Daphnia pulex: one gene and its partner. The protein of the gene in region 1 purifies or fractionates together with the protein of each later gene. This does not show direct contact. Links are inferred from orthologs where the notes say so. Each region holds a gene or a part of one and is shown in the gene's direction. Other genes may lie near its edges. The genes, in order: dual specificity tyrosine-phosphorylation-regulated kinase 1B-like and DDB1- and CUL4-associated factor 7.

Region 1 (16,870 bases):
TTCCCCCTTCCCTGTTTTCTTTCTCTTAATTCCATAATGGCTGGGATTTTCTCAATCCTTTACTCCCAATTCTTAATCACAATACAACTTTGTTTCCGCATAAAATAATTCCGAAACTAATTGGTCGATTATTTCCTTTCGAATAAATAGATTTTTGTATTTGTTTCTCCGCATGGGAAGTTAAAAGGGAAGATTAACAATGATTGAAATCGATTAAAAAGGCGTAGGGGTGGAGCCATGCACTTATTTCTTGAGGGGAGACGAATGTAATATGAAAAGAAAGAAGTAAAATGGAAGAGAAGAGGAAATGTAAAAAAAAAAAAGTGGCAGGTAAATTTAAAATGAAAATAAACACCCACACGCAGTGTCATCTTGCAAATATGGACGGAATCGGGTTGGGAGACGAAAAATGATCGTCTTGGCACGAAAAATGAGTTTTTGGGACGGAATGGTCGGGTCAAAAAATAAAACGTCGAAATAAAAATAAAACGTCACTCGGGGCCGGAGCAAATCAGGTCAACGTAATAACGTCATTTTCTTTTTTTTCTTCTTCTTCTCCTACTTAAAGTGATGGCGCTTCTTCCAATTTCCTCCAGACCACCTGTAAGTTTAAATAGGGAATGAAATGAACTCGTTTAACCAGTTTCTTTTTCGTCTTTGACTCAATTTGACACGTATAGAAAATCCTTACGTTGCACATGGCGTGAACGAGAGCCCGTTCACCGTCTCCAAGGGCTTCTCCATCAGTAGCCTGCTGACCAAGGCGGTCGACCTCTTCGTCGGCCAGCTCTGAATCGGGAGTGACCAATCCGCTCCTCTGACGGGACGAGCTGCGACTAACCGACGGTAGGACTCCCAAACTGGATGGTTCTAGAAATTCTCTGACCTGTTTGATTGACAACACATTGGAGTTACTACAAGTGGCAGAAAATGCAAAACCAAAATAACTAGACCTGTAAAACACGAAGCGCACGAGTGACGGCTTCGGGACGGGAATGGACCAGTTGATCGTCTTCTTGTTGAATCTCGTCCGAACGGATGCCAAGCTCAACGGCCCGTTGATTGTGAACAGCGTTGTAAGGCGGAGGGTGGGGTGGGCGCAATCTTTGCTGCTGCTGTTGTTGAGGTTGCCGAATTACGTTGTTCGACTGCCCACTTCGCTCCTCCTCCATTTGAAGTATGCGAAGCTCCAGTTGGCGAGTGTATTGCAGCAATTGCTCGGCCAATACAGAACGATGTTGAGAGTGATCCTAATTAAGAGAGAAAAATGTGGTTAAGCAACTTTTTCATTGAAAAATTAGGTGGATTGGTGGTCAAATTTACATCAAGTAATCGATCTTGGCTGCTGGTACGGATAACCCGCTGGTGGACCATGCCCGAAAGAGTCTGAGGACGATTGACCGATAAATGCGATCGGGATGGATGCATGCTGAGATTGGTTGGTTCATCCGCGTTGGTGCTGCTGCTGCTACCGTCGCCATCATCACGGACGGGTTGCTGTTGCTGATTCAGACCAGCCATGTTCAATTCGGTTGGGGGTGGCGACGGAGTGGCTCCGCAAGAGACACAAGGAGCTTGTTGGATTTCGCTCCTTTCTTCATCCAAATAAAGGCAAAGTTCTTTCAGTTCTCCATTATCCCTCGTCAATTCTTGCTGTCGACTTTCGAGTTGCTTAAGCTTATTCTGATAAGACGCGACTTCTTGGCGCATTACGGACGCCGTATAACGACCGAAACGTTGCCACTCTCTGGCAAGCTTCCGTCCTTTCTGGCGATCATCATCCAAGAAACAGCAAAGATCTCTGAGCTCTTGATTATCTTCTTGAAGCCTTTGATATGATGATTTTAGACCTAATAAAAAGACAAGAATCAAATGATAATATTATGAACTAGTGGGGCATGAATGATGTCTTTACCTTTGATCTCTGTTGCTTGAGTTGCAATTCGATTCTGAGCCTCCAGTAAACGTCTGGCTAAGACTGGGACAGAGAGCATCATCAGTTCCTCCTCAGACATGTGGGTAGATGTTTCTTCATCCCCATCATCTTTTGTTGCAACAGGTCTGAGATTGATCTGAGAAATTTGTTGATTGAAGGCAGGCAAGCTTTGATAACTTGATGGTCCTGGATTTGGTATCAGCACTTGTTGTTGTTGTTGACCTGCAGGAGCTGGTCTGATTTGGTTTGGTGGGATATTTCGGCGAATTTCCCCTAGTGGAATGTATGGTTTTCTCTGTTGTTCTAACGAAGTAACAGGTACTCCAGGAATTCCACCAGGTGCAACTGCTGGCTTGGTGTCAGTTCTGCTGCTACCAAACTTATTCATAGTTGAATTTGGCATATGTGAGTAGCTTGCTCGAGTCGTTGTGCCTGGGTAAGGCGGAGGTTCAGAAAAAGGTCGAGGGATGTTGTTGTTCATTGTGAACTTGGAGTCACTTTTAACGAAAGATTCAATAGGTTTCAGCGCCATTAGCACCTTTATTTAAAAACTGTTAGTACCGTTAAAACACACATATTCACTCACAAGTATTAGGTCTTCAACGCACATTTAGAGAAATGAATGAAAACACAGAGACACTACTTCTTAAATACAATCGATAGCAGTCACCCAAGCTTTAGACGCCAGGTTTACACAGGTAGACATTTCATTCCTCAATTCTATAACCTCGATTTTTAACTCGGCATTTCCGCATTACTTCGCCAGTTCTCCGCTAGGGAGCGAGTGTGGAATTTCTTCCTTCGACTTTTAACCTAATTAAACATTTATTCAATTTTCTACTCATTCCACTGTTTTGTTTCTTTAAATTGGAAAAACTAAGTATCACGTAAATAAATAAATTAAAATTTTGTACTATTTCATTATTTGAAGTTGAAGCCATAGAAAAAGAACAATAATTTTAAAGTAATCGATCAAATTCATTATCGATATGTGTTGTCGTCTGCTTTTTTTCTGAAACACATTGGAAAAAAGCCTGTGTTTGGCGTTGAATTTGCTTTTGAATATTTTTGTAAAAAATCCCAATTTTCTTAAAAAAACCATTAGAATATTCACTTAACAAAACCAGTTAACCACTAGAAAGTTGTAAATCATCAGTTCAACATGCTGCTTACTAGAGTTCTGTTTGCTAAAAAAGCTAAAGCCAAGTAAGAAACAATAGCATGAATAATAAGTGAAACTCAATTTTTAAAAACTATAATTTTTTTATTCTGTTTGCAGGGACGTCTTGGTCATGTTAGAAAGCATTGTTTCAGGACATAGGGTTAACCTGATTCGACCAAGATTAGATGATAAATTGGAAATTATACGTTTTGACCCTTGGAGTAAGTTCTTCAAAAATAAATTGTTACTGTAGCTACTACATTTTAACACTAAATTTTGGGTTTTCAGTTAGGACCATGTGCATATATAAGGAGAAAAAGAAAGTTCGTAGTATGTAGAGAATGTTGAATAATTGTAGAATAAAGTTTTTTCCAACAGTTGTAATGCATTGAATTTTAATCCACAGAAAACTTTTTCACACACTTTGACTTGAAATTTTAATGCCTTCCTCTTCCACGCCACTGCGGCTTCTGATCTTGATTCCACGAGTTTCCTCCTTGATTCCAACCACCTTGGACTCGGCCGCCTCCTCTTTGACCTCCACCACCACCATCGCGATATCCACCTCTTCCACCTCCATCCGGTTTACGTTTCTGCCATCCGGGCATTTCGGGTGGTGGACGTCGGTTTTCAGTAGCACGACCACCTCGATCAGGAACCTTTCATAACGATAATTTCATTTAATTAATAGGAAACTGATGTGGCGCAATCAAGTTAAAGCCTACCTCGCCAATGAGCATTCGTTGAAGCGGAGTCTTCGTCTTCTCTCTAACGGAGGCGCTACTTGTTTTCTCCTCATAAGCAACATCCTCTCTGGTAATAAAGATGTTTCAATAAGCATTAAGATAGATTCTAGTTTTCCAGCGAGACAGATAAACATATTTACTACCTAGCGGATAGCAAGCGACTGATATTCACATTGGGCTCTGCCAGCATGCTAGATCTCAAGGGTTGGAAAATTGCCGATACTTCATCCATTTTACTTTTAACACTCGGAGACCACTAAATACCAAAGAACGTCTCGTCTTAAAATGAGTAGGTTTTCACAATTTTTACTTGGTTCTTACCGTGAACGATAGGACTGTCACATCAAGCCGGGTTAGCAACATTTCTCGTCTTAGTTTATAGTCCTTGTTCAGTTCTCCCAAAAGTTGGTGAAGCTGACTCCATTGTTGCTCTGTCAGTGATGTTTTCAGTAGAGGAGATCCTGGATAGTCTTTTGGGGCTGTTGATAAAATTTCTCGAATCTTGACGGCCATTTTATTGAAAAGTTGCTTGGCAGAAATATCAGAAGGTGGTTTGCTAAAGCCCAAAGTCATTAATGCAGATTTTAGTTTTTCAGCTGTTGGGGTTTCCTAAATTGTAGAAATATATGAGTCACAGCATTTAAAGGACAAACTTGTTTAAATATTTACAGATTTTAGGGAACATTTTTCCAGTTGATTTTCAAGATTATTCATCATTGCAGCTTGGCATTCAGAAATGAGAAAGTTTAACAGTTTAAAATGATTTTCTCTAGCTGTAAGCCTCAGGGCAGGGGGTCCATCCATCAAAACGCTATAAGGACAATCTGTGCATGTGAAATGTTACACATTTTGTCAATTGAAAGAGTCCCTTTTAAGATATCTTACAGAGTTCTTGTAAAAGTCCAGCCAATTCCATACAAAACATCTCTCCCTCTTCTGGCTTTTCAATGGCATTAACCATATCTTCGAGTTGGCAAAGTGATCCTAGTTTGAGTGACAAAAAATTCACAACTTTACTCAGATCTACTATGTACTCAGGGTCATTCCTTTCAAGCAGGCGTGCCATTTGAACAACATCATTAATCGGCCCCGTGTATCTACAAGTCAGTTCAACATATTAGGTATGGCAGAATGTTATCATTTTATTCAACAATAAAGTACCCTAAGTTCTGAAGACTAGTACAAATGGTATCACTTTCCATGTTTAAATTCAATTTCAATTTGAATTCGAACTTTTATTTGACGATAGCCCGACGTGCTCCCTACGAAGAGTTGCAGACGTCTGTGCTTTGGTGTGTGATACACGATTTGGTGATTTACTTTGAAAATATGGACAAGTACAACAACGCCAGTATTTCAAATTCGCAACAGCTGCAACAAATTAGGAATAAATGTATTGACTACACGTTTCAGAATTATCCGTTTATTGAGAAAGTTAGATAAAAACTGAATACAATTGGAAATGGAATTTTTAACAGGCTAATTTTATTTCACCATGAACTTGCACTTACATAATCTCTTGATATTTTGAATGTGTGGATTTTCTAACGCAGATTAAAATTTTTTGTCATAGCCTTGATCTAAAATTTGGAATGGAATTCGTGATAGATTAGTTTTCTTGGAAAACAGTTGTTGTTGCATTCGACAAAAAAAAAAGAACCGTACGGCGCTGTTTCACGTTTCTTCAGTTGGATTCCATTTTTTACCAGAAGATGGGGTTTACTATTTCGAATTAAGATTAAACAAGCTGGATAAAATAAAATCATTTATTTTTAGTTTTTTAATAAATAAAAATAAGTTTAAAATTAAAAATTTAATTCTTTAAATTATATTTTTAACTAGTTGTTTTAAACCTGATTGGGTGTTGCATCCGGTAGCCTCTTCTTCCCTCCAAAAACACAAATAAAAATTCATGAAGAAGTTACCTTTAGTGGCCGTTACGAAGCGCTGGTGTGCAAAGCAACGCCATTTGCAAAAGGAGAGAGGGGAAGAATTGTGTACAGAGGGCGCTCGTCTCCGTTAGCTGTTTTCGGGGCCTTGTTGATATGTCAACACGTAATTCCAATCGCCCAGTAAAAGAGTTAAAAAGTTGCTTAATATCACGGAATTAGTGGGCATTGATTCATCATTAATTGTTTGCATGGTGAAACTGTACGGGATTCGTGTAAAAACCGTTGGTGACTCACAAGATTCGTAGTGTTTTCGAGTGGGAAAGTTTCAGTTTGCCGTGCGAGACACCCGCCATCACTGTGTACAGAAAAGTGTATATACGCCGTGTGTGTGTGTCGTGTTGTGTCGTCTGGCTCGTGAAAAAAAAACGCCATGGCAGCACACAAAAACAATTTAAAAGCTGGGTCCTAGTGAAATTTATCAAATATATTCAATCTCTTGACTGTGTAGAACAAGAAACAAAGCATAAAGAACAAGTTTAGACTTCCCCTCATTGGACTGTTTTGAGAAAAGGTATTTTTCTTGAGCATTTTTACTCGCTCACAACATTTCAGGCTTTTGGCATCCAATTAATTAAAAAAATCGTTTCCAAGTTTTGGCAGTATTTTTACTCCAAACAATGTTTTTTTAAGAAGCCTTCATATGATTACATAATGTACACATTTCGTTCTCACAGCTAATTCATATCTCTATTATCTTTCAGGTGATCATCGCTTGTGCAGGAACTCTTAAACGACAAATACCAAAGAGTGTTTTCAAGTGAATTAGGCAGTGTTTGTGTGTGAACCAGCAAAAAAGACAAGAAAGAACAGGTTTTTTTCGGAGAGAAGAAAAGCCGCGCATCACCTCATTTGACCCCGCCTCCAACAGTATTGAAAAGGTTAAAAGAGGTCATCGAGTGACCTCTGCTGAATGGCGATGGAAAGTTCCGTTCTGGTCCAGCCTAAGCGACCCGACTGGCACAAGCATGAACAGATGCAAATCCACCACACTAAAAGTATGCCTTTTCTCATTTTAAACGAATATTTTAAAAATGAATCAAGTTGGTCGCCAGGAATTTTCCCCCCAACGGAAAACGAATAATGAATTGATTCATTTGGGGTGAGCTTTTCGTGTGTGTTTGACACGGTCGTCATGCAAAGTCAGGGAGTAGGAGAGAAGAAATCACGTGAAAATTCCGGTCGCTTCTATTTATTCCCTAACGGCAGGATTCTCCTCCTTGTTGTTGTTTTTGTTGTTTTTTGCAGTCGGGGCATTTTTTCTTCTTCTTCATTTTGTTTCTCCCCTACCCAATTCCTACTCTTTGGTTGAGTGGACCGGAAGTCTCGTACCACCACCACTACCACCACAGACAAGACACAGGCGCTGGTACTACTCCCGAAAATGGATCGAGAGGCCAGAGTATGTGGAATGCCAGACATTTTCTCTTTCGTCTGGCTTTGCAAGCAACGGGATGACTACAGCTGGGCGGGTGGGGAAGATAAATAAATGGAATCATTATTCCGTTCCATTTCTAAAAAAAGAACCTCGATGTTCAGGAGAGAGAGAAAAAAAAAAGGAATGCCGTGTCAAAATTTGTGTGTCTGGTTCATTAAGTCGTTTCAATGACGGTCACTGGCTGGCTGACTCAAGTGCGTCACGTCGTGACGTCATTTCCGGTTCAGACGGGGCTAGACTGCGTCATCAATCGGAGGTGTTGCGACGGCGGTACTCCCCCCGCCAATTTCACCATCGACACATGCCCAACGAATTGTTTATCTTTTGGAACAGGTTCATCTTTTTTCTTCTTAGAGGCCAACGACGAATCGACGAAAATTGTGTGATTCATCATTGATCTTTTACACGCCAAATACCGAAACGGCCTCGTTGCTGCTCGGCGCGCATGCGTTTTTCGTTTCCGTCTCAGCCCTGGGATGCCTGGCCACAACTAGAGTGTGTGTGTGTTGTCCATCCCTGGGTGTTGTTTCCCGGCGGGTCGTTGATCGACAGACGGGCTCGTATATATGGCCTCTTCTCTCTCTCTCTCTCTTTGCCGTCTAGCCATTTTCTCCTCTTTCTCTTGCCCTTCTTCTTCTTTTCTTCGTGCTGGCCGCCGCCGCCGTCACGCTGCTTCCCCTCCTTGTTCACGTCTCTTGCACCAACTTTTCATCAGACTCTCTCTTTCACTGTCTCTTTTCTCCCTCCTGGCGCTCACGGCGGCTAAGAGTACTCGGCCGTCGGATGGGGAAATCGGGGCGGAGTCAGACGCCAAGTGAACTGAAAATAGGGACCGTTTTCGTGCCATCTGGCGGCGGAACAAGTTGTTCCCTGAACGACGCCGATACACACGCACACATATATGAGAGTTTGGGGGGGGGCGGTCGGTTGGAGATTCCGAACAAATTCCGACGGGGACCGATCATTCCGTTATTTGACAAAATTGTATTTATTTATAAATATATCTACACACACTCTCGACACGACAAACAAGAGATAAACATGGGCTCGTTACCATGCGGAGGAGAACAAGAAGCGACGGTCGAAAATAGTTTTCACGAAAAATACCTAAACATAAATTTTTGCCTCATAACTTTTGTGTGTGTGGCGCATTTTTCATCATTTCTTTCTTCTTCTTCTTTCGTTTCTTTCTTTCGCTCCCGGTTGGTGACTGTCCTTTCCGAAACGGAACCAGCCGGCGAGTGTATAGTCGTCTCGTCTTCATCTTCGTCGTCGTCATCCGGTCGTCCGAGTGGCAACAGCGGCGTCGTTAGCAGCGGCGGCGGCAACAACAGCAGCAGTGCTAACAACAGCACAGCCGTCTATGGCCGGCTGGTGCCCGAAGAACAGCTGGCAGCCCTTGGACGAGGATTGTCCGTCATCAATCCTAATGCCGCAATCAATTCCTCCTCCTTAGGTAAATAAATCATCTGACTCTAGTACTTAATTCTGACTCCATTTTAACGTTGTTTCGTATTTGTTTTTTTTGCAGGGAGTTCCTCACTCTCTTTCGGTGGTGGAGCTGGATCTGCCTCGACGTCAGCCGCCGGCTCTTCCTCCGACTTGCAGACGATGCAGTCGCGAATACCTCGTCAGTTTAGAGACCCTGCCTCGGCTCCTCTGCGAAAACTTTCCGTAGACCTCATCAAAACCTACAAACACATCAACGAAGTGAGACAATAGTAGTCATACATTTCGTCGGTCTATTTTGTAACTAATTCTATATTGCTATTTCCGCCAGGTTTATTATGCCAAGAAAAAGAGAAGGGCGCAACAGCAAGCCCCAGGCGAAGATTCCGGTCAGCAGCACAACAAGAAGGAGCGCAAGGTGTACAACGATGGCTATGACGACGACAACCACGACTATATCGTCCGGCATGGCGAACGCTTTCTCGATCGTTACGAAATCGACTCACTCATTGGCAAGGGCTCGTTCGGTCAAGTGGTCAAGGCCTACGATCACGAGGAGCAATGTCATGTGGCCGTCAAAATCATCAAAAACAAGAAACCTTTTCTCAATCAGGCCCAGATCGAGGTCAAATTGCTCGAGATGATGAACAAGGCCGACGCTGAGAACAAATATTATATCGGTAAAATAGCATTTCTTCCTTTTCAACCTGCTCACCGACTCTGTGTGTGGTCGGGAGGAAAAGAAACAAACAAAATTTAATTGCCGTTTTGTTTCTTTTCTTTTCCTTTAATTTTCTCTATTGATTATTTTATTTTTTCTTTCTTTCTTTACAGTGCGGTTAAAGCGCCACTTTATGTGGCGCAACCACCTGTGCTTGGTGTTTGAGCTGCTGTCGTACAATCTGTACGATCTGCTGCGCAACACCAACTTTCGCGGCGTCTCGCTCAATCTGACTCGCAAGTTTGCCCAGCAGTTGTGCACCGCCCTGCTTTTCCTCTCCACGCCTGAACTGAGTATTATACACTGCGACCTCAAGCCAGAGAACATCCTCTTGTGTAATCCCAAGAGGTCGGCAATCAAAATTGTCGATTTTGGCAGCTCCTGCCAGCTCGGCCAACGGGTAAGTGTGGCGCCCACTTCAGACGACGACCAAACAAAGTTGCATAAACTTGTTTTTTGCGTTTTTGACTGGCGTCTTCTCAGTATTTTGCGTTGGGCGAGTATTTCATCGTCGTTTCTTTTTTGTTTTTTTAACGGTTACAGATATACCAGTACATCCAGTCACGGTTTTACCGATCACCAGAAGTGCTCCTAGGCATCCCCTACGATTTGGCAATTGACATATGGTCATTGGGGTGTATCCTGGTGGAAATGCACACGGGAGAGCCGCTATTTTCAGGCGCCAACGAGGTGGACCAGATGAACAAGATTGTCGAGGTGCTGGGCATGCCACCACGGGCCATGCTCGACTCGGCTCACAAGACCAAAAAATACTTTGACAAACTACCCGATGGCTCCTACGTCCTCAAGAAATCCAAAGAGGGCAAAAAGTATAAAGCGCCGGGCCATCGCCGCCTTCACGACATCGTCGGTAAATATCCAATTTCAAATGTTCAAAACGTACCGGAAACCCTTTGTGGTATTTATCGATTTTCTTCCTGTTCTGGTCAGGTGTGGAATCAGGTGGTCCTGGGGGTAGAAGATCGGGTGAAATCGGACACTTTGTATCGGATTACCTCAAGTTCAAGGATTTGATATTGCGGATGCTGGATTACGACCCCAAGACGCGTATCACACCTTATTATGCTCTGCAGCACAATTTCTTCAAGCGGACGGCCGATGAGGGCACCAACACGCACAACAATTCGGCCTCTACCAGTCCAGCCAGCATGGCGGATCATTCCAGTCAGGCGGTGATGGCGGCGGCAGCAGCGGCGGCGGCTGCCGCAGAAAGTAGAGCGCGGTCGGATCCGAGTCACGGTGGTCCCGTCAATTATTCGGCCATCGTGTCGGGCTCGTCGACAGCCTCGACAGCAGTCCAGTCTTCTGCTATGGAGTGCGAAAGTCCCAGAGGTCTACCTCCTTACCTGCACCAGCAGCAACAACAGGGATCACGGCCGCATCCTCACCACCTGCCCACTTACTCCAACTCTTCGTCGTCCTCATCAGCGGCGGCGGCCGCCGGAAGGAGATACGCGTCTCATCTGGATGCAAGTGGTGGTGGTGGTGGTGTAGGACTTCAAGTGCTGAATAGCGGCAATCCAAGTGTCTTTGCGTCCGGATCTTCGGCGTTCATCGGATCAAGCTCGGCTTTCTCGGTGGGTAGCAACAACGCGGCCACGTACAGCAACCTGGGCGGTGGAAGTGGAGTGAACTATATCGGTGGGCCTTCGGCAGCTTTGTCGGCGACGACATCATCGCTGGACTGCACGCAGAGCGGCAGCCTCAACTTGCCCCTATATCAGACCCCCTACAGTTTAGTTCATCCGCCCGGACCCAGCGGTCTGTCCACCAACTCGTCTGGTTACTTCAACGCCTCATCCTCCTCCAATTCCATCTACCCCTTCCCTTCCAGTCACGGGAGTAGCAATATCAATAGTAGCAGTAGCGCGTTTAGCAGTATGAATGGTCCAACAGCTTCGTCATCCTCTTCCGCTAATCAGCTCATCTACGCCAACGAAATGCCGTCGGCGACAGGATCGGCCGTGGGTGGCGGAGCCATCAAGAATTCTCGGTCGGGCCCTCCACAGGCGACGTCGGCCAGCGGTAGCAGCGACAGGTCCGACAGTCCCATGCAAGTGGGCGTTTGCGTCCAGCAAAGTCCCGTAGCAAGCCACTGACAGATTGTTTTATTTTAACACATTTTGAATTTTGTTTTTCTTCTTCTTTTACGACGCTGTTCTCTTTTGTAGAAACACACACACAGGCAGAGTAGAGAAAGAAAGTGAGCGAGTGAAAGCAAAAGTCGTGTGAAAATAATAATGAAACCACACAACAACCCCCCTTCCCTTCTTATCCATCCGGAATGAAAACCTTGATGGATTTTGTTTTGCTCAACCTTAGTACTACTGTATTTTTCATGACCGCGAAATGTTTTTTCTCTCTTTTTTATATTAGCGAAAATAATTATGCCACACGACTCCTTACGTCCCCCCCACCACCAATCGAATTATCTGCAATGTTTTATTCCCGAATTTTTTAAAAAGAGAATCCCGAATCAATCACCCGATTTTTTTTTGTGTTTAAAGCAAAAGAAAAAAAATGAATACCAACCTGAAATGATTTTCTAGAAAAATAATAATAATTAGCTGGTTTGACGCGGAAAGAGTTCCTATCCATCGTCGTCTCCCCCTCTACAAACTGCCTCATTTTGATTATTAGTAGCATCAAAAGCCGATCCTTCTTAATATAATTTCTCCTCCGCAACTACTACATCAACTTCACTCTCCTCCGAATCTGTCTTTTTAAAAATTAGATCCGCGAATAAAAAAAGCGACCAAAATGAACAAAAAAGAGAAACATGTAAAAAAAAACACCAAAACCCCCAAATATAGCTTAAGACATGAGTTTTTAAAAAATGGAAAAAAAAAATAATGCAATCGATGATTTCCCCGTACTAAATAAATGTATTTGCATACGCCGAGAATAAGGAATCAGACAGGGAACCTGTGCGTGTCTTTAATTCTTTTTGTTTATTTGTGTGTGTGTGTTCCTTTTTCCTGGTGGCTCGAGAGAGAGAGAGAGATGCGTGTGTGTTTTAATTTATTCGGCTCTTCTCGTATGTGTAGACAAATATTTTCTTTCGTCTGTTTGTTTTCTTCCCATCTTTTATAGACAAGAGAATTCTTCATCGACGGTAAAAATAACGATACAATTTGTTGGATTGTTTGTTGTTTTTTTAAGGATAAATATCCCCCCCCCCAAAAAATAAGAAAAATATTGAAATTTGTGCGTGTCGTCGTCTTGTGTGTGTCCTCCGATCGATTGCAAATCCTTGACGTGTTTTTCCCCTCTCTTGTCTCCTCTCCCAAATCGTATCTGATGGTTTGTCTTGCATTGACGATAATTTTAACAATTTCCTTTTATTTAATTTTTGGTTTTTTAATTCTTTTTTTTTCCTCTCTTGCCAATATTGAGTGCGTGTGACATTGCGTTCGTTTGTTCCTCCCTCCCCCATCTATTTGAAGCTCCTCATTTGACCAGGAGGTTATTAATGAGAGAGGAATATCTTGTGAGATCGATCATAATTTTTTTTTTAGTGATGAAACGATGTGTACATATAAATGAAGAGAAAGGGGATAGAACACCATTGAAAAAATCGTGTCTTTCTCGAGAATGTGGATATACATGCACGAAAATATAAAGAATGAACGAATGGGTTAAAAGAAAAAAACATTCACTTGTCCTGTTAATCAGAAATTCCGGCAATAGACACTCGATCAATAAAAAAACACGTTATTTGGCAGGATTCCTTTTTTCTCAATTATAGATCCGTCAATAATTTGTTGTTTGTTTTTGTAATATATAAAGTCATCTAATGAATTGATAGAAAAACAACACGCTTCGAAATATCTCGGGGTAAAATTGAAATATAATTTCTACACGAAAGAAATCAAAGCTACGGAAAAATCCAGGCAAAAATTACATAAGGAACAACACTGACGGGATAGAATTGTTTCCTTTTCACTTTTCCGAGGGTGAAGGAAATCCTTCAAAGGGTGACGTCCATGTTCGCCATTGTGTTGGCGATTGTTTCGTCCTGTCACGCAGAAAACCCGTATACATCAAATTTAATTAACCACTAGAACAGCACCTAGAGTGAGTCAACATTGTTACCTTGGTGCACGTTTCCAGGAATTCGTCCCAAGTAACCTGGCCATCGCAATTGAGATCGAGTTTCTGTCGTCACGAAAACAAAAATCATCATCGTTATTTTCAATAGTTTTGCCTACATTTTTGTATTTTAATAACCCACAAAGTAAAACGAGGCAAAGGAACAAAGCCTGTGGCTACAATTAAAACTCGGCTGCGTTTGAGTGCAAGGATTCTTTCCCATTTGGAACAACGAAACAAAAGTTCATTTCTGTTGTTCGTTCAAGCATAGACGAGTAAATTCCTTTGATCAACAAGAATCTTTGAACTTTTTTTTTTCTTGCCGAAACTTTAAAGGTTCTATTTCTGTTCGTTTAAAAAAAAGTACATAAAGGGCAAGGCTGATTAAAATCTTGTTGAGCCAAGCGTTAATAATAAACAAATCCAGTCGAGCAGACGAATTTAATTGCTTGCCCAAAGAGGCTGAGGCATCAAAACACGACGTTTCTGGATAACATACTCCTACGATATGCACACACTGCTGATTATTCATGCATTAAGATAAAATTGGTTGGTTATGTTTATGTCTTTGCTACTTTCTTCAATTAAAACAGAAAAAATTGCAACTGTGTGCGCCAAGGGGATTAGATCGGAATTAAAATGAACATGCAACGCTGTTGTCTTCCTTTTCGAATCAGAATCAACATTAAACTCGACCAAGTGGTCATTTCTTTGTCACATCATGGGCTTCATGGCCACATGAGTTGTTACTTTTCTCATTAAAACTTGACTTTAATGTTCCATTCCACGTGGCAAAGAGACAGAACTGATATCAAAGAAACTGAATCCACAAACCCAGTGAACTAAATATTTCAAAAATCAACTAGAATTACCCATGGCCACCTCATGCAAGATGGAGCAGAATCAATGTGATCACCACCAAAAGTAGTAAGTCACCATTTTATAAAATTCGTTTGTATTGTTGTACGAAAAGGAATAGAATTGAAAAGTCTTAGCATCAATACCTGAAATATGCGATCTGCGTGTCGTTCTGCAAACATTTCGTGATTTCTGCGTTCGGCCATTGCAGCTGCCGAATTGGTGGTCGATGGACTTGGCATCATGTCAGGAATCGTTTTACTCGAGAGTAGATTGCCTTTGGGTGAAAGAAAGAGGAAGAAGGGAGACACATCCATATTAATCAAATGTTGCCATGATGAATAGATTCGGTATATTATGCTGGTGGTATCGGAAAATGAGGGAGAATTCTATCAAAACAAAAAAAGGAAAATCCCTCGTCTCATATTTCCCGCCAAGGATCGATCGATAGCGAATGCCAACGGCGTTTATATTTATGATGGGCTTCATTCCAAGCGTGATTGAGAAACTGACGTTTTTGTTTTCTTTCTTTTCGCTGTTATTAGTGGCAGCCAGAAACAAGAAAATCGACATATTTTATACATTCATCTTTATTCGAGACGATTGAACAACCCGATCAATCCGTCGCCCGTCTGTTTGGAATTCATCCAATCCCATATTGCTGTAGATATCCTGTTGATGTTTTCCCAATTCTTTTCTATTTCGCTGCTCTCATCTTTTTTTGATTTTAAAGAAGAAGAAGAGAACAACGGGACCGAGTCTGTCCATTCGAAATCGTGTGATAGTGTAGGGAATAGACCGAACCAGAGACTTGCGTCTCTTCCCAGCCAAACCGTCAGTGTGTGATTATGTTGTGTGTGTGTGTGTGCGTTGGTCCCCTGACACAGCCCACGTAGTAGCAATCTCCTCTGTCGACAGTAGCTCTTTCCGATGTAACGTGACTTGCCTCCGGGAAGGCGTCTCTCACCCACCGTGCGACTCCCGCAGTATCGCAGCTCTTGACTATCTTTTAACGTTTGCACTACTAAGACTAGTAGTATATAGACTAGCTCCGAGGGCTCACAATCCCAGGGACTTTTCTTTCTCTTTCTTTCCTTCTCCGTGGATACGAATGGAATCTTTTTGTCATTGATTTTACCGTGAGGACTTAGTCGATGGATGGCCATGACGACGTCCCGCAATTCACTTCGGCTGATGACCCCGTCGCCATCGGCGTCGTACAGCGTGAAAACCCTGGCCATCAAAAAAAAAGGACAAGAAATATTTTTGGTTATACAGTCTTGTAGTGCGTTGGGTTAAGTGGAACCCAATCAACCACCCGCAGAGTCACAGATATCACGCGGTCCATTTACCATCGTAATTTGTCCGGCACCGATCCACGTGACAGCGCCGACACTCCCAGCACTAAATCCTGCGTTCAAAAATATTCGTTAAAATAAAAAGGAGAAGACAACAAAACAAGAAAATTTGATGTTAGCCAAAATGACGTTGTTTGTCTTTTGCTAGCCCTGCTCGTCTCCCGCCCACATAATCCGACATTCCCGGGAAAGAAAAAGGTTTTTAAGGTTAACGATGGCGTGTGCAGCTGCTGCCACATCAAAGTCGCATGCCCAAGGATTTGAAATTTGCGAGACGGGCCAAGAAACTGTCACTCTTCATGCTCTTTTCTCTGCTCAATCCTCTTTTTTTATCGCTTTAATTCCCCGTTCGTTTTGGCTTAAAGATGGTCGTCCCATTTTGAATAGAAAAAGAATTCACGACAATCGGTTAGCAAAGTTTTGAACCAACCGAGTGGTAGGGCGGCTACCGGGATCAGCTGTTCGTTATAGGCGCAGTTGGGTGTCAAATCAGTTTTTATTCTTAAAATATTCATTGTCCCCCCCCCCTCAGTCAACTTTTGTGAACGTGTAGTTTGCTACAACTGCGTTTTCCTATTACTAATGGGAGAGTTGCAATTACGCAATGGCCGTCAAAGTTGTAAATGTATCAAAGACTTTGCGACAGAAACTATACTCAGTAAGTTTGGCCGGCTAAACTATAGACTGGTATACACACGCAAGTTATTACATCATTAAAGTGTGTGTGTATGTGGAGCACGTATTGGGGAGAGGGGCTAAAAGAAAGGTTTGATTGGATGTTTGTTTCATGAGCCGGAGTTTAACCGATGGTCCAAACAATTCCGGCGGATGTACCCGGAATCGAATGATCCCTGGGCGCTGTGCTGTTGCACGACCTTTTTTCATTCCCCCACCAAAGATTTCGGCTGTGGGTTGGATCTTGACAGTCGCCATCTTTATTCGTTTTTCTATCCCCCTTTTTTTCTTTCCCCTTTACACGGCAGAGCGCACCCATCGCGTCTCGTCTTCTTCATGGGCGAGGATACTGTTGATGGTTCGTACGGGAGGAGAAGGAAGGCCGTCGTCGTGTTAGGCGAGTGGCGTTCCACGAGTCATATTGATCCGCTCTGACAAGAAGAGAAAGCGAGTCTCTATCTACGC
Region 2 (16,316 bases), on another chromosome or scaffold:
ACCATCACTAGCTCGACAACACTCTGCTCTTTCAAATCGAAACTTAAGACCCACCTCCTCAGTATCGCTAGTTTCCCAATGAAATTTGTTGCTCCAAAAACCGACGATTGTACTTCAGCGTCATTTGTAGCATGCTTGCATGATAAGTGCGCTATATAAATAAATTTTACATACATACATTACATACAATTATAATGGAAAATTTCAGACATGCTATCCCCTTCTTCAGCTTCACAAAACATGACTATATGTCTCCCTCTGTTCCTGGAGAATTATCTCCTATTCGTGTTGCCCACTGGCCAGAGGTGATAATACCTATTGGGACTTGAATTTGAGGTTGCTGGATATTACATGGGCTCCAGGTTACTGTAGGCTGACTAAAAACTTGTCCTGCCCCAGTTTTATAGTGGAATGTTTCTGGTACGCTACAAAACGGGAATGCATGACTGAATGTAGGTAGCCTAGTCTGTTTCATTTTTCGACTTTTTTTTATCGGATTTCTCTTTGAGATTGGGATGAGATTTCGTCTTTAAAAAATATCCTGGAAATTTGAATGGGTTTAAAAAATATTTAGATCACGCGCATCGAAAAAAAACACGAAAAATCGTGAATTTTTCGTTATTTTAATTCATAGAGCCACTTCCCTGGGGTATTTTTTATTTCTCTCTTCACATCTTTTAGGTAACTATATTATCTATATGCTCTGTTATTTTCAACCTTATCGGCCAAAAACTTAATCACGCGCAAGGGAAATTTATTTTTAAAAAGTCGTTGTACAACAATGCATGGGTTTTTATAATCTTTTCTTTTTATCGGAGAAAACGTCTGTGAACGCGAGAACGGGGGCGTATTAAGTGTTGGCCCAGGAAGTCTCTCGACACCACCCGAAACCGTCAACGGACCAGAATCGAACAAGCCGCAGCGTAAAATGCTGGTCAGGTTTTTGAAGATAAGCTGAACCATAAAAACGGGCTGTTCCAAGGTGAAGACCATGCCGGCGGCGACAATGTAATCTTGTAGCTTGTCTCCGACACGCAAGTACGCGATGACGGGAACATTTAACCCTTTCAAGTGTTCAGCCGGGCCAATTCCACTTAACATGAGAAGTTGTGGCGTGTGAAACCAGCAGATAAAACAATTTCTTATGAAGCCTGGATTATGTAGATTTTTCCTTTGCTTTTGAATTTGACAGCGTAGGCTTACGAGTCCTAGGATCAATAAGAATTTGCGTGACGTGTGAATGTATTGCGATGTGAAGGTTTTCTCGCTTTTGCTCGGGACGCAAAAATGCTTTGGCAGCAAAGCACCTCGATTCGCGCCGGATTGTTGTTTTGGCTAACATGAAACCCGTTTGGTAAGCTTCCCTGCCATCACGATTTCCGTAACCTGACAAAGAAAAAATTTATTGAATAACTATTCCCGTGCAGTAAACTAGCCAATCATAGCCAATCTGCTATTAACAGACAACTAGCCAATCATAGGGCATGGCCGGGGATAAGGCGCACCTCACAGCAGTCTTTTGTTTTTCAGCACGTGTCAAGAGAAGATGAAGGCGGCGTGATCAGCTGGTTGTGGAGTGATAACGATATGTGGTTGAAAGTAAAACCCAGCTGGACATCGGGCACCATGGATGCGTTGAAGTATGAATCAATTCAGTGCAGGCCACTAAACCTAGTTCATAAATTAATATTAATGAAAAACGAATCTTAGTTAATGTAATAAGATGAAATATTACTGGGCGGGGCAGCGATAATCTTCTTGGGCCGATTTTCCGGTAAATTTTCTTCGGTAAAATGCATAACGATTCGCCACATGTCAGAAAAAGCCACTTGCTTCTCCAAAAGTTCCCTCTCCGCTCTCCTCTCGTCATCCTGGACGTTGCGTGCTGTTTGATTCGTTGATATGCTGGGCAGAGGAACTCGAGTGAAACGAACTTCAGACAGTGAAAAGCGCCTCAGAATACGGAATTCTTGACTACAGTGATCCCAAAACTCCAAGGTACAATCAACCTGCTCAACTCCAGGTGCCGCATCTTGACCGGCTCCATCCGCTTTCATTAGAGGAATCGGATAAACATCAACCCGAGTCAGAGCTCTTGGTTGAGGGTATGCCCAGCACATGGAGGCGGGTTGAACGTTGAAAACTACCTGGTACGGACGTGGTTTCTCTTCTGCTTGCATCCATCCGGAAGAAGGACGGGAGGTGGTGTCCCGAACCTGGAAATCAAATGTACCAGTTCTAAAATCATCCTGATAATGTTGTTCATCCTTATCCACGACGACATCCTTTGGAGCTGGATCGTCATTTTGAGATGGGGAGTAATTTTGCAACATCCATTGCGTAAGAGCCGTGGCTACAGTCACTTGGCGAGGCCAAGCGTGAAGTCGAAGGTTGTCGGCTCGACAAAATGCACGTACCAAGACGCGCTTATTAGATAACCAGTGCGGCCACAACAACTGGATCCGACTATCGAGACTGAAAGGATCGCATAGTTGCAAATTAATGTTTTGATCCATTTCCGCTTTGACAGAGAAAGCATTCAGTATTAAATTAGCTTCTAGTTTCTCTCGTTTTTCTTCATTTGTGTCCAATTGGCAAGTCACATCCAGTAGCATATCGTTTAGACCGGCGATGATTACGGCGGAGGGAACCGGTATTTCCACTACCATTTGGCTCGTTTTCAAGCAGATATGCCGGTATAATGATGACTTCGAATCTTCTTGTTTGGTTTGGAAGGCTTCCAACTGTCGAGCCAAATACTGGAGATTCGAAATATTGTCTGCATGGAGAATGAATTTGAAAGGGCGTCCAAGTTCCACATTCAATTGGCGAGCAGAAATGATTTCAAGGCGGAAAAGAGAAGGTGGAACTCCAGTAATGATGGACGGCTGACCGAGTCGCGTTTCTATCAAACTGATTGGATACATGCTTTCATTCGGAAGCAAACAACTCTTGACAGGTGATCCATCGGCCCAGCAAGGTAGTTGTAACCGAATGTCGTAAACGGCGATTTCGTGTACTTCTTGATCAGCCGTTTTGATCAATACGTGAGGCTGGATGAGATTGATCAAGGCAAACGGCAGAAATTCGTCTGGCTGCGACGTGTAGATGATGACACAAACTCGGTTAGAAGTAAAAAATGAATGAGCTGGAAATCCGGCCACTTGTTGCTCTTTCGAAGACAAGTTCGTAGCTGCCGAAAGAAGAATATTCATCCATTGAATGTAATAATCGATTTGCTTGGCATCAATTAGCAACTGGATATCGCTGGAAGCGTTGACCTCAATGGCTTGCCCGGCAACGAGACATTGCTGTTCCAGGCTGACAATCGGAGGAGCGTAGATCACTCGCAAAGAGCAGCGAGCTAAAATTGGAGTCATTCCAACACTTGGCTCCGATGGTTGCTCTTGACGAGCGTTCCATTCCAGGGCTGGATTTTCCGCCATAAGTCATTTAAGATTTTACATTAGATTGCTGTGATAAGCTTGTACCCTGGGACTTATGGATGTTGCGCATTTCTTTCTGGGTCGTAGGAACTTGTTGTCTGCTAGGAGACAACTAGCCAATCATAGGGCTCGGCCGGGGATAAGGGCGCGCCTCACAGCAGTCTTTTGTTTTTCAGCACGTGTGGCATTTGCTACGCGCTCGAGCATCGCACGAGCGGCACGTTTTCGTCACGACACACATTTTGTAGCACACTTTCCTTTCCATTTTTATCTACTTTGGATCCATTTTCATCATGACAGGGGCTTCTGAAACCACGACAACAGAGCTAAATGTAAGTTAAAGAAAATCTGTAAAACATAGAAAGGATATATCCTAATTTTTTTTTAAATTTAGGCTACAAGTTCTAAAACTTAAATATCTCCCCCGCCACCACAACCCCGAGACCCAGAGACCGTGAGTTACTTAAATTGTTTTAATTTTCTTAGAATTTACTTTAATTTTTATCAATAGATCAATCCTAACTATCCACGGAACAATACAGCCCAAAGCATGATGGCAGTAGCTGCCTTTGCCAAGTCATGCGAGGCCTTCACTTACGCCATTCTCAACATAATCGGGGGACTGACTGGCTGGGGGCTGGGCATCAGCATTTTTCACTGCGCTTTCTTGATCTTTCAGATGGTGATCTGTGCCTACAGCACCCTGATTAACATTGATGTTAAGGATCATCAAAAGAAATTTCTACCCTTGGCCACAATCTTGATGCTCTTTACGTCCATCGACCTTTTCTTTTCTGGGGTGACCGGGTCCATGATAAGAGAAAGTATCTTTTATGCTCGTCGGACCTAAGTTTCCCTTTTTTTTCTTCCCCCCCAAATAAAAATGAATGTCTTTTTTTCTCGTCTCCTTTTTTTCTTTTCTTTTTCTCTCTTTGTTCTTTTCTTTAATGTTCTGTTTTAATTGTCATTTTCCTTGTCTGATAATAAACAAGAATTAATCTCTCTTTGTTCTTTTCTTTAATGTTCTGTTTTAATTGTCATTTTCCTTGTCTGATAATAAACAAGAATTAAACATTTACTATTCAATCATTACAAGGTTAGGATTAGTGAAGCGTATGTACTTGTCAATTAAAGCTACTGAAATGCTGGCCAACACAACACAGGCACAGACAAATCAGTGGCCTTCACTTTTAGTACTTTGTGAACAAATTGAGATGATTAAGATTTGGAATGAGAAGACAATGTCAATAGCTACGGAAGAAGCCAATAATCTTTAACAGATAGGCTTCAGATAATTCAAAATTTCTAACCTGATTTTAGATAGAAGCAATTGTCTCATCTTTGAGTTCAATGTTGGTCTGCTGATTCTTGTCCATATGGACCTTGATCGCTAGGTTGCCAAGTGAGTTCTTTGTTGGAGATTGAGGCATTGAGCAGGCCCTCGGGGGATTTTGTCTGGGATTCCCAAATGCTTTTACTTATTTAATGAAAAAGTATTATAAAAATGAATTGATTAATGATTTTTATTTTAAATTAAAAAAAGATGTGATTAATAAACATATTCAAATCAAAACTATGTGTTATAAATTTATTTAACACACCTGTGCATTGTTTGGGAAAAACTACCTTGTGCATAAGTGCATTATTGTCTGATCATTGTCTGTGTGTGTAGTCTGCTAATCCTGTTTGAAATTGACTTGACTGGCTTGACTGTTCATGTTTTCGTGCATGTTAGTAGATTTCTGTATGTTTCAAATATTCTAAACTATGTAAAGTTTTTGATGATTAGACGTATAATTCAATCTTTAGTTTCTAGCCTCAATAAATTTTCTATTCATGAGGAAATGTCGTTTTACGCAGTTGCCAGGGGAAGGAGAGTGGGCATCTATCCGAGTTTGTATATTAAGTTATCACGTAATAAGAAATTTTCAGTAAAAAGGGAAAACATTTTTCAGGGCTGAATGTCAATCTCAAATACAATGCTACCCTGGTGCACAGTCCTTCCCCACAAGCTGCAAGCTGAAGGTTTCATCCAACAATGTAACTCAAGCATGACACTCAAGAAATACTGCCAGTTAAACCCAGGGCATCCTAACTTCCAAAGATTTCTGATGGTTTGAAGAAATTTGAAATCTCATTTTCTGTAAGTGGAAGTCAATCTCCTACTGCAAAAGCATTTACTTCTGGATCTCAGTTAAAGTATTATTATGCTGTAGCCATTGGTAAAATGTTGGCATTTATTCTGCTTGGTAGGAAAATGATTAAAATCATTGGGATTTGAAAAATAATTTATACAACTCTTTTTTTTTCAAATTACAGGGCAGAGTACAAGGCGCAGTTAGATGGTTGTGGATTTACCAGATATAGAAAGTTTTAAATGCACAGAAAGAAGCTGAACAGTTCATTCATGGAAATCAAATTCAAAAGGGAGTCAGAGCCTCCAATTCTCAATATAGAAAATCTCTATTTTCAATTGAGTAATATTCCTGCCATTCCTAGTATTAAAGGCATTTGTGTTCAAAATTTATCGTCAGTTTCTTTTGGATACCATACTATCCAACAAGATGAAGATGGCTTCATATACCCATCGCTCAATCAATCTACAAATCCATACTTTGATTTTCCTACGGCGCTATCTCCAAGAAGAATTATTTTTACCGCCAAATCATTTGATTTACCAGTGGCTTCATAATCTATACCAATGTTGCTATCACACATGATTTCCATCGCGAATACAAATTGTTAATCCAAACCAACGATTTTGAAAAAACTTTTCCTGTGTTTACTTTCCACATTGCCATAGCAACATGTCCTTTAACAATAGCGCCAAACCGTTTTCCGTGTAAAAGAAGGAAATGTCTTGCGGCTGTGCGCGTCATTCCGATCATTCATTAACAATAATTATTTTTTTCCTGGAGCTAGCATTTGCTACATTGCAGACGTTTTTTAAAATATAAATTGATTAAATGAAAAGACGAGCGATTGGGGTCGTTACTGTAGTAGTAGGCCTTGTCGAGTGGCAAAATAATTCAACTGCGATTTCCATACATTTAATCCCACTAGATTGAGGGAGTTTTTTTTTTATGTATTATACTATGAGAAGTCTCATGTATGTGTACTAAATAATATGATACATTGGGACTGAGAGACAAGTTTACACATTTTCTTTCACATTTGCAACACCAACTCCAACCATAAGGCCAACAACTGTAAATCCTTGTGCTGCAATCCTGAGCCTCATCATTTTTTGTGACATTTGGGGTCTCCTAATGAATCAATTCAAACAATTACAGATTTAAAAAAAATATATTATGGTCAATAACCACACAACAATCAATTTGTAAAGTTATACCCATGACGAAAGGACCACAGGCCATATGTCAATGCAGCTGCAGTTGCTAGACACCCAATAGGAACAAAAGGATTTTCAGAAAATTTTCTGTTGAATTTTTCTTTGAATGTCTCCTGGTTCTTCAAACTTTCTGATCCAATTTCCTCTCTTAACTGAATCCAGTTTAATTCTTCAGCATTTAAAGACTCAATTTCATTGTTTATTTTGCTTGATGTTTCCATTTCTCTGTACACAATCAAAGAGGAATTGTTAATAGTGTAATATAAATTGTTGAAGCAATGTACACATAACTGATCATGAATGCCAAAATATTTTAGATTTCTAAATATTTTGATAATTCACCAATTCGGTCATGAGAAGTCGATTGTGTTTATTAAATTAAAAAGGAATAATAACATACGGAGTATGATGTTTCGTTCGTTCTATAGTATCGCAATTACTTTAAATCTAAAAGTATTAAGACCGAGACTGAAAAGTTGTCAAGAAATTCCGAGTTATTACATAACAATATTCACAAATTGTAGTTGCGACGTTACTACTTGAAGGTTGAACGGTTGAACGTTGAAGCACTGCAGCGATCGGTAGCAGACAATATTTAGCGGTGGTGGCGCTCTTCTTCAAAATATCGTATCTATTTTGCCTGTATTTGATTTTGACTCTGACTTTCGTTTCAGACTTCTACCGCTTGGTGTACAGCTTCAGTGTGAGAAAATTTAATGGTTGTCTTGTCTGGCCTAAGTTAATAGATAGGTTTATTTGTTTGCGTGGGTCCACTGTCATTCCGGTTAAAATTGCCAACATAAGAAATTCTAACACTTCTGCATATTTGATCACGATTCCCGGGAATTGTGTCGTTTTCTAAAAAATGGCGGGGCTAAATGTTGCTCCCAAACGAAAGGAAATTTACAAGTACGAAGCACCATGGACTCTTTACAGTATGAATTGGTCAGTGCGTCCAGATAAGAGATTCAGGTGAGGGAGGAAGTTTAAAATTATGTATTTTATGTTTAAGAAATGTAATATTCAACTTGACTAACCTCAAATTCCTTTACAAATTAGATTGGCTATTGGAAGTTTTGTAGAAGAATACAACAACAAAGTTCAAGTAATTTCATTAGATGAAGATTCAGCAGAATTCAGTGCCAAAAGTACTTTTGATCATCCATATCCTACTACAAAAATTATGTGGATTCCTGATGCGGTATGGAACTATCCTGTTTCAAATATGGTTAAAGAAATGTTAATAATTAAGTGTGTTATCAGAAAGGTGTTTTTCCTGATTTACTGGCTACAAGTGGGGACTATCTACGCATATGGAAAGCAGGAGAACCAGACACAAGATTAGAATGCCTCCTTAACAATGTAATTTTTACATGAATTATTATTATTTACAAGAAATTTAATTCATTGAAAACAATTTCTAGAACAAAAACTCAGACTTCTGTGCTCCTCTTACAAGTTTTGATTGGAATGAAGTTGAACCTAACCTTATTGGAACATCTAGTATTGACACCACATGTACCATATGGGGTTTGGAAACTGGACAGGTAAAGCAATATCTTTAAAACTTCTTTAAATCTTATTATTCTATAACAAACTATTTATCTTAAAGGTTGTTGGTCGAGTTGGTGGCCCTGGTGTAGCAGGACACGTAAAAACTCAGTTAATCGCACATGATAAAGAGGTCTATGATATCGCATTCAGCCGGGCAGGAGGCGGGCGAGATATGTTTGCATCTGTTGGCGCTGATGGCTCCGTGAGAATGTTTGACCTTAGACACCTAGAACATTCAACAATCATATATGAAGATCCTCAGCATCGTCCTCTGTTAAGACTAGCATGGAATAGACAGGACCCTTCTTATTTAGCAACGATATCCATGGATGCTTGTGAAGTATTTTCGGTTTTTCACCTCATTTCAAATAGAGAACACGTTACAAATTTCTTTGTTACAAATGTTAGGTGGTAATACTCGATGTAAGAGTGCCGTGTACTCCCGTCGCTCGTTTGAGTAATCACAGGGCATGTGTAAATGGCATCGCTTGGGCCCCACATTCTTCCTGTCATATTTGCACAGCTGGTAAATATTTTTTATTTGTAACTAGAATTGTGCAAGTACCGTGTGCACGATGTATGCTGCCAATTGCTGTATATAATTGATCCGATTTGATCTGGTTTGTAATAATTTAGGTGATGACCATCAAGCCTTGATATGGGATATCCAGCAAATGCCGCGAGCCATTGAAGATCCCATACTTGCTTACACAGCGGCTGAAGGTGAAATCAACCAAATCCAGTGGGGAGCAACACAACCTGATTGGATTGCCATTTGCTACAATCGATCCCTTGAAATTTTACGAGTTTAATGCTTTAATACCTATATATATCAAAACTGAGTATGACTAATGTCTGAAAACTTCTCATCAGGTTATCTTAGATCGTGTTTTTTTAATAATTCGTATCCTCTCGTGAATCGGATCGTTGATTTGTAATTAAAATAAGGAAAATATCATAAGAATGTGACATTTGAGATTTTGAATTTGTCTGTACTACTAAGCAAAAACTTGGAAAAGAATGACTGAATTTGAATCAACAACATTGTTTTATTAGCTTTCTATCACAGCACTCGGATTCTGTATAAGATCAGCAGGTATTAACATCATATATATTTTTATGTTTCTCTTTAAAATTCAATTTGAGACTGCTAAGTGGTTGGTTTGATTACTTGAAATGCTTTTGTAAGCTGTTGGATTCGAAAGTTGCATAGTTTCTCGTAGCCGCTCGTTAAGTAGTTGGTATCTCTCGCGAATCTGCATTTCGTGATTTTTCTCTTCACGTTCCAAAACCTTAAGGAAACTTGATAGTTCAGCCACTGTAAATTCCTCCCACTGAAATATAGAAAGAAGAAAAAATGGGTGCGCTTATAGTTTAGCGATGGAATATGTCGAAAATTAGAGCCCCGCAATGGTATTTTACCGGAATGTCTCCATTTTGGCTTTCTTGAAGGATTAGAGTTTTGGCACAGCTAGAGGCATCGAGATTGGTATCATCGGCCTGCCAATGTTGGGCAAGTAGAAGCGGACAATCGAAATCATTCAAGCGACGAAGTCGAGCTAAATAATAGCAAATACAACATGATTTGGTATTCTGGAATTTAGTACGATCGAGTCCGACTCGTTTGAGAGAGGGAAGGTAAAAAGTATGACGAAAGAAGGATTCAAACAGATAACGAACGAACGCAAGTATGACTACGTACCTCGACTGGTTTTTCCCGGTTGCCAGCTTTTTTCATAGATGGCCAGTTTTTTTGGTTCCCAACCTGAAAGATGAGGATGGGCTTCTACGATTTGTTGTACCAGTTCGATGCACGCAATATCTCTGAAACGGGGATAAGGAGTTACAAAAGCATGTGTAAGAACGTTGACTCTGTGGGCACCCTCGTTTTAAAATTCAAACTCCCCAAGGAAATCAATACAAAAAGGACCCTGAAAAACTAGAGGCTATGACGAGAATATTGATGGAGTCTAGTTCGATCCACCTACAAATGGTAAAGAAATCGATGCAGGAGTACAAAGAATTCGCGGAAATAGGAAGAAAATTTCAACCTATTCGAGGCAGGTGCCAATTGACTAGCGTAACGAAGTAGTTCACCTCAAGAAATCGTTCTCGATTTGACCAGATTCTGTAAAGCCTCGAGAACGTGACGCTCGTCTGAGCCGACGATGTGATGATTTAGATTTACAGTGTAGCTCCCCCTCTAGCCATTTTCTAGAGACCGGTTGTATCCGGTTTGATGAAAACCGGACATTGGTTACGACTTACGAATGGTTATTTGAGACGAACGCACTTTTACCTCGGAAATGAAGTCTGGGGGCCGGGGCTTCCGTCTTGAAATACAAGAGCATACATTTGTCGCTCACGAACCACCGCGTTGTCAGAAACACCCGCAGCGATGTCATAGGTCGGACGAGGGATAGGACGGAAATCAATAAATGAGGGTAACTTGTTTTTTTGTCGGCAAAAGAAGTGCAAGTAAATTCGAATCGTTTCTGACGACGACTCGGTAGCAGCTAGAAATGAATCTTCCTCGGTTGGACGCATTTCTCCGAGGGACGAAGTTCCGGAATCGTTCAGGACGGATTGGTTATTATTAACGGCCTTGCTTTCAAATGACTGCTGGCTGGAGGAGGCGTCGCTCATCAAGTCGCAAGAATCGGCTTCAAACATCCAACGAAGAGTCACTTCATAAAGGCTTGAAAACCTCCAATCATCGTTTGAATCTTCGGGGACCACCAGATGACCGCCCGCCGTTGTGATGGCGACCGATGCAGTTGAGGGCTCAGCTATTCTTTTGATCGCAGACGGTGAACTGGAAGCAGAGGCATAGCCGCTGCTACGACGTGATCTCTGACCATTGATTCCAGTCACAATTCGAGTTTCGTCGATGTGCAGGATATCCACCATTTTGCCCACAGCGCAGTCCAGTAGAACATCTTCTTCGATGACCGTTTCTACTGGAATGCTAGCGACTCCCTTGATTTTAAATAAACGACAAAAGAAACTCCGATAAGTCATTATAGATTATACATTAGATTGCTGTGATAAGCGTGTTGTACCATGGGACTTATGGATGTTGCGCATTTCTTTCTGGGTCGTAGGAAGATCCATTTATCCTTGTCGACTTGAATCACGCGGCCGCTCCCGTCATCGGTAGCGACAGTGGATGGATTAACAGTTTCGGGAGCGATGTCGGCGATCCAGCCTCTTCGTTTGGCCCAAGTCGGCCACTGATGTTGGGCAAACTCTTCGAAATTCTTCAGCATCGAATCAAACGACAGAGGCGATTTGCTAGGCGATTCGAGTTGTTCGTGCTGAGGATCGGCGCTAACAGCTCTTCTGCGGAAGGAAGGCGAAGCGGGCAACGAAATGCTGGTTCTTTTCCCATCTCCGACTTCTTCACTGTAAATCGAGCAGCAAATTGAGAATAAACAAATTGAAAAATGAAAGTCTCCCAAAAACGACAGCCTTACCTGTGTACGCGCTTAAGGGATTGTCGGTGAGAGGTCGGAGAAGTCAGTCGGCTATTGGGGGGTTGATGATTGTTTAAGCTTAGTGATTGTCCCATCTCGAGACCATTCGTCTTTGTTGCTTGATCGATATATAGTCTTGGCAGCAGGCAGACTTTTCCAGGCTGAGTCGCACGATATATCGACCAACGCCGCCGATATGTAGCGTTTAGAGATAAAACACGTTACGACAATCAATCCACGAACGACTGACTCTTCATTTTCGCAACCACACCAAGACAATGTGTCATACTCACAAGCGAGTCGTCAACAACACCGACTGCACAAGATAAAAATATAAGCTGCTGGCCAGATAAGAAAGTTGCGCACGTCACAGATTTGTTTCACGAATCGTCAGAGGAATTCTAGCAAAATGTTGGGGGGAAAACCTTTTTTTCTCCACGCTGTCGTGAATTGTAGCGTCTGCGCAGAATGAACAACACTCTAGTAAAAAGGTCAGCAATGCTCAATTTCTTTCGGTCGAAATCCTACGACGGCTTCAGTTCGATAGTTGGCACTGAGTCAAAGCGTTCCCGACAACTCGGTCGATACAATTGAAGATCATATCGTCGTTCAGCCAGCGTTCGGTCGTGACGGTGGCTGGAAGGAGACTAGTGGGAGAGCCAGTAACTGCCCCTTGTGTAACTCTCACAAAAACGGGTGTGTGTGTATCAAAGAGAGAGAGAGCCACCTGAAAGAAAAAAATGAATCGATTGGTTGTCCACCTAGTGGAGGACTTGGGTAGTTGACAAAACCTGTTTTAATCAAATCTTTGGCTGTCCAAAATGATGATGATAAGAAAGGTGTAAATAAATCAAATCAAATCGAGTTTGAGCTTGATCATTTATGGGTCGAAATAAAGCTCAACCATGACTAAAGCAATCGACGAAAGCTTTTGCGTTTTTAACTCGACCTTGGCAGCTTCTACTAACTCACTTTCTATAAAGTAAAGACGTCTTTGGTTCGGTAGCTATGTGCTGATTTTCTCTTTTATGAATTTTTTTTCCTCGGACGGCGAAGGTGTTGTTACATGCAAACTTAAAAAGAGCTAACGTCCCCGTCATCAATAAAGGGTTTTCTCAAGAACGACCATGAGGACTTTCCTGAATAACAGACAAAGAATGTCCTTGGGGTTCGATATGACTGAACACAGCAGACCTCGCCTATTCCACCCGAGGACGTTTAAAATTACATTTCGAAACCCTCCACCGAAAAATTTCAATTTCTACTCCATATTAATTCGCTAAGAGTATATATTAATCGGCCGGCGTATGCGACGGGAAATTTTATTTTAAGGCTGTTGCGGTACGCGCCTCATATTCTGAACAATAGCACTACACGCGTGTACTGTCGCGGGATTGCGAGAGATTCCATCCCTTGGATTTATTTTAAGAATGAACAGGCCAAGTGGATACAGTTCACTTTGAACTGTGGAATGTCACCTTTCCTAAGGTACTAAAACGGTACGCACGATTGAAAAATCATAACATCTAATGTTACTGATGGCATCTGTAGACATTAGTCCACAAATTGTTTTTTATTTCACGACATTTTTCCCTGACACCATTTTCACTCAAGCATTCTTTATGCACAAATTGTTTTGTAAAAAAATAAATAAGTAAAATAACTCCTGACTTGAGCTAGTTAACAGTTTACTAAATGAGGTACATAAATGAGGTTTTTGGATTTGAAAGGCAACCTACTAATTGTGCGATATGAACCGTTGTTGTACTGATTTTCGGTATTTTCCAAACTTTTTTACCTTTTGGGTTTTACGATATCAAGTTATCTTGTTCCCACAGAATTTACCGATTTTTTGCCGTCAGACAGAACTATTTCTGTCTACAACCCCATTACCATATTGATGCCAAAAAAGTTCATTAAATTCTAAAGGTGACCGGTATTTCGAGAGTCGAACGTTTTTTTCTATATATTTAGGAAAAATATCCTTCAAGTGTTATCTGCTGATTTTCTGCCAATCGGTTTTATTTAATCTCGCAAACAGGAAACAGCAGCAAACAGGAAGCAACTAAGCAAGTAAGCAACACACACTTTTTAATTTCTGACAACGTTGCTTGGCCATGCTTTTAGATTTTACGTCGTCTGCTACCTACTATTATTGTTTGAACCTTTGAAATTCAATTTGGTAGTGATGTTTCGTTAACGATAACGGATAACGTGAAAAGTCCGTTAACGGACCTTTTTTGGGGTTCGTTAACTTAACGGATAACGCTAACGTTTGGCATTTTTCAGACGTTATTTTCAGACGTTATTTTTGTTTTTAACAGCGCTGCCAAATATGAAATTTTTGGATTTTTCAAAATGAAATTTGTATTTTTTGCGCGCTTCCAACATTTTACTGTAGTAGGTTGACTATGAAAACGAATTTAAATAGCCAATGACAGTGAGCAGTAGTCTTCTTAGCTTCTCTGAGGTTTTTTTTTGCTTTCAAAACGTGGCAAACGAAACTGTATAAGTAGAGTAGGGAAACAACTAGAATCAGAGTGTAAATCTTTAATGTCAGATTCAGACTCTGATGCTCCTGTTGACGGTGAATAAGCGTGGCATCTGCGATGTTAGAAGATCTCGAAAGAAGATTTAATTTCATGACAGATTAAAGAGATCCTGATTTCGACTGCTCCTACCTTCTAGCCACTTCCCTCGACTGCATTGAAACTGAACTTTTAGACAACTTCCACTTTGCAAGTCATGAATTTGATCCTTCTAAGGATCCACCAGTTCAAGATGTGATCTCTTACTGGAAGGATTTGTCTGGTCGTTTCCCCTAATTATCCAAAATGGCCTATAATTTACTGGTTATACCAGTTTCTTCGGCATCATCTGAACGCGAATTTTCCATTGCCGGATGGCACTGTCTAGGACACAAAAATAGGACGGCGGAAGAAGTTTTGGCCGCAAAAGTCTTCCTCACTTGCAATAAGGATTTATTGAGGCCTTTACTTTTTTAGTTGGAACTTGTTTTTTTTTCTTTTGTCTGTGCGTTTATTTAATCCGCAGTTTCTGTTTTTTTTAGTTGATCATTGCTTCATTGTGACATTGTTCAACGCCAGCAGCAATTTAAATATAAGTAATCAAGACCGTGACTGATTTCAGTGATTTGATAGTGCAATTTTTTTATTAAATAACGGTAAAAATAACGTCGAATTTTCGTTAACGGAGACATTTTTAACGGCGTTAATTAACGGCGTTAACGAACGTGAAAAAATTGGACATCGTTAACTTAACGGATAACGCTAACGTTTAGAAAAAGCACTAACGAAACATCACTACAATTTGGTAATGAATTATTTCACTTACGTCAGTGTAAACTCAGTACTCCAAAACTAATATATGTTCTGTTTAATTACAATTTAGTGTTTCCGATTACGCATCACGTCACTGTATGCGTTGATTCTATTTCCAATACAAATTTAAACATGGCAACTGACCACAAGTAAGTCATGTTTTATGAAGTTTTTTTGCGGGCACTTTGATATCAACCTCTTAATTCAGAACACTGCAACCATTGGAATTTTACAAGACTTTCCTTGATCGCAAGTCACGCCCAGACGGTCGGAAACTGCTGGAATTCAGAAAAATGACTCTAAATGCTGGTTCCATAGGAACAGCTGATGGCTCAGCTATTGTCAAATGTGGAAATACTACTGTCATTTGTGGCATCAAAGCTGTAAAACACTCATAACTATTTTTTTCAAAAACTATTATCAACAATAATCTATCAAATCCAGGAACTAGCTGCTCCAGAAAGAGAGGAGCCTTCTAAAGGCTTCATCATCCCAAATGTGACACTGCCATCCTTATGTTCTTCACAAATAAAATCTGGCCCTCCTGGAGAAACAGCTCAAGCTGCTACCCAGTTTATAGCTGAATTAGTCAATAACAATATTATTATGGACTTGGAAACATTGTGCATAAAGGTTTCAAAATGGGCTTGGGTTCTTCATTGTGATCTACTCTGCATTAACCTTGATGGGAGTTTACTAGATGCTTGTGTGATGGCATTAGTAGCTGCACTGAAAAATTGTAATTCTATTCTAAAGTTTTATGTTTTATTTTCTATAATCTAATTCATTCACTGATTCATTACAGTGAAACTTCCCATTGTGAGTTATGATGAGGAGATGGACAAACTAGTTTCCAACCCAAATGAAAAAATGAGTTTTGACACAATTAAGCAGCCAGTTACATCAACATTCTCCTTATTTGATAAGTATGTGCTTAAAAAAAAAACATGAAGAAACTTCTATGAAATCATGATTTCTCATTATTTTGAACAGTGGTATTTTGATCAGTGATCCTACATTTGAAGAGGAGCAGTTGGCTGCTGGATTAACATCTATTACCATGGAGGGTACTTCAGTTACACATATGTATAAGCCAGGTAAAAAAATTTCTATGATGTTCTTAAATTTGGACATAACCTTCCCTTGA

The links.
Region 2: the proteins of dual specificity tyrosine-phosphorylation-regulated kinase 1B-like (region 1) and DDB1- and CUL4-associated factor 7 purify together in Drosophila melanogaster (affinity purification with mass spectrometry; 3 studies listed by BioGRID, with this or other methods). This does not show direct contact. The link is inferred for Daphnia pulex from reciprocal best matches to the Drosophila melanogaster genes mnb and wap.

What each region holds. Positions count from the first base shown.
Region 1 is NC_060021.1:8,751,485-8,768,354, reverse strand, and holds dual specificity tyrosine-phosphorylation-regulated kinase 1B-like, read left to right. Parts: upstream 1-5,817; 5' UTR 5,818-6,307; intron 6,308-6,497; 5' UTR 6,498-6,706; coding exon of another isoform or gene 6,707-6,791; 5' UTR 6,792-8,014; coding exon 8,015-8,687; intron 8,688-8,762; coding exon 8,763-8,941; intron 8,942-9,011; coding exon 9,012-9,360; intron 9,361-9,514; coding exon 9,515-9,801; intron 9,802-9,944; coding exon 9,945-10,272; intron 10,273-10,352; coding exon 10,353-11,521; 3' UTR 11,522-12,599; downstream 12,600-16,870. Other genes in the region: 39S ribosomal protein L33, mitochondrial-like, read left to right, coding at 3,099-3,142, 3,216-3,319, 3,387-3,428, 3,505-3,539; uncharacterized protein LOC124194269, read right to left, coding at 563-601, 692-886, 954-1,250, 1,324-1,850, 1,916-2,368, 3,607-3,757, 3,824-3,911, 3,988-4,100 and 4 more; Kv channel-interacting protein 1-like, read right to left, coding at 13,393-13,440, 13,518-13,580, 14,519-14,649, 15,511-15,605, 15,725-15,783. UniProt on the Drosophila melanogaster protein: Role in the specific control of proper proliferation of optic lobe neuronal progeny.
Region 2 is NC_060025.1:4,757,701-4,774,016, forward strand, and holds DDB1- and CUL4-associated factor 7, read left to right. Parts: upstream 1-7,463; 5' UTR 7,464-7,663; coding exon 7,664-7,770; intron 7,771-7,857; coding exon 7,858-7,999; intron 8,000-8,061; coding exon 8,062-8,160; intron 8,161-8,222; coding exon 8,223-8,345; intron 8,346-8,410; coding exon 8,411-8,692; intron 8,693-8,760; coding exon 8,761-8,878; intron 8,879-8,988; coding exon 8,989-9,164; 3' UTR 9,165-9,391; downstream 9,392-16,316. Other genes in the region: uncharacterized protein LOC124202359, read right to left, coding at 9,489-9,686, 9,775-9,911, 10,055-10,176, 10,652-11,331, 11,415-11,757, 11,829-11,923; exosome complex component RRP43-like, read left to right, coding at 15,302-15,318, 15,378-15,552, 15,614-15,908, 15,975-16,095, 16,163-16,266.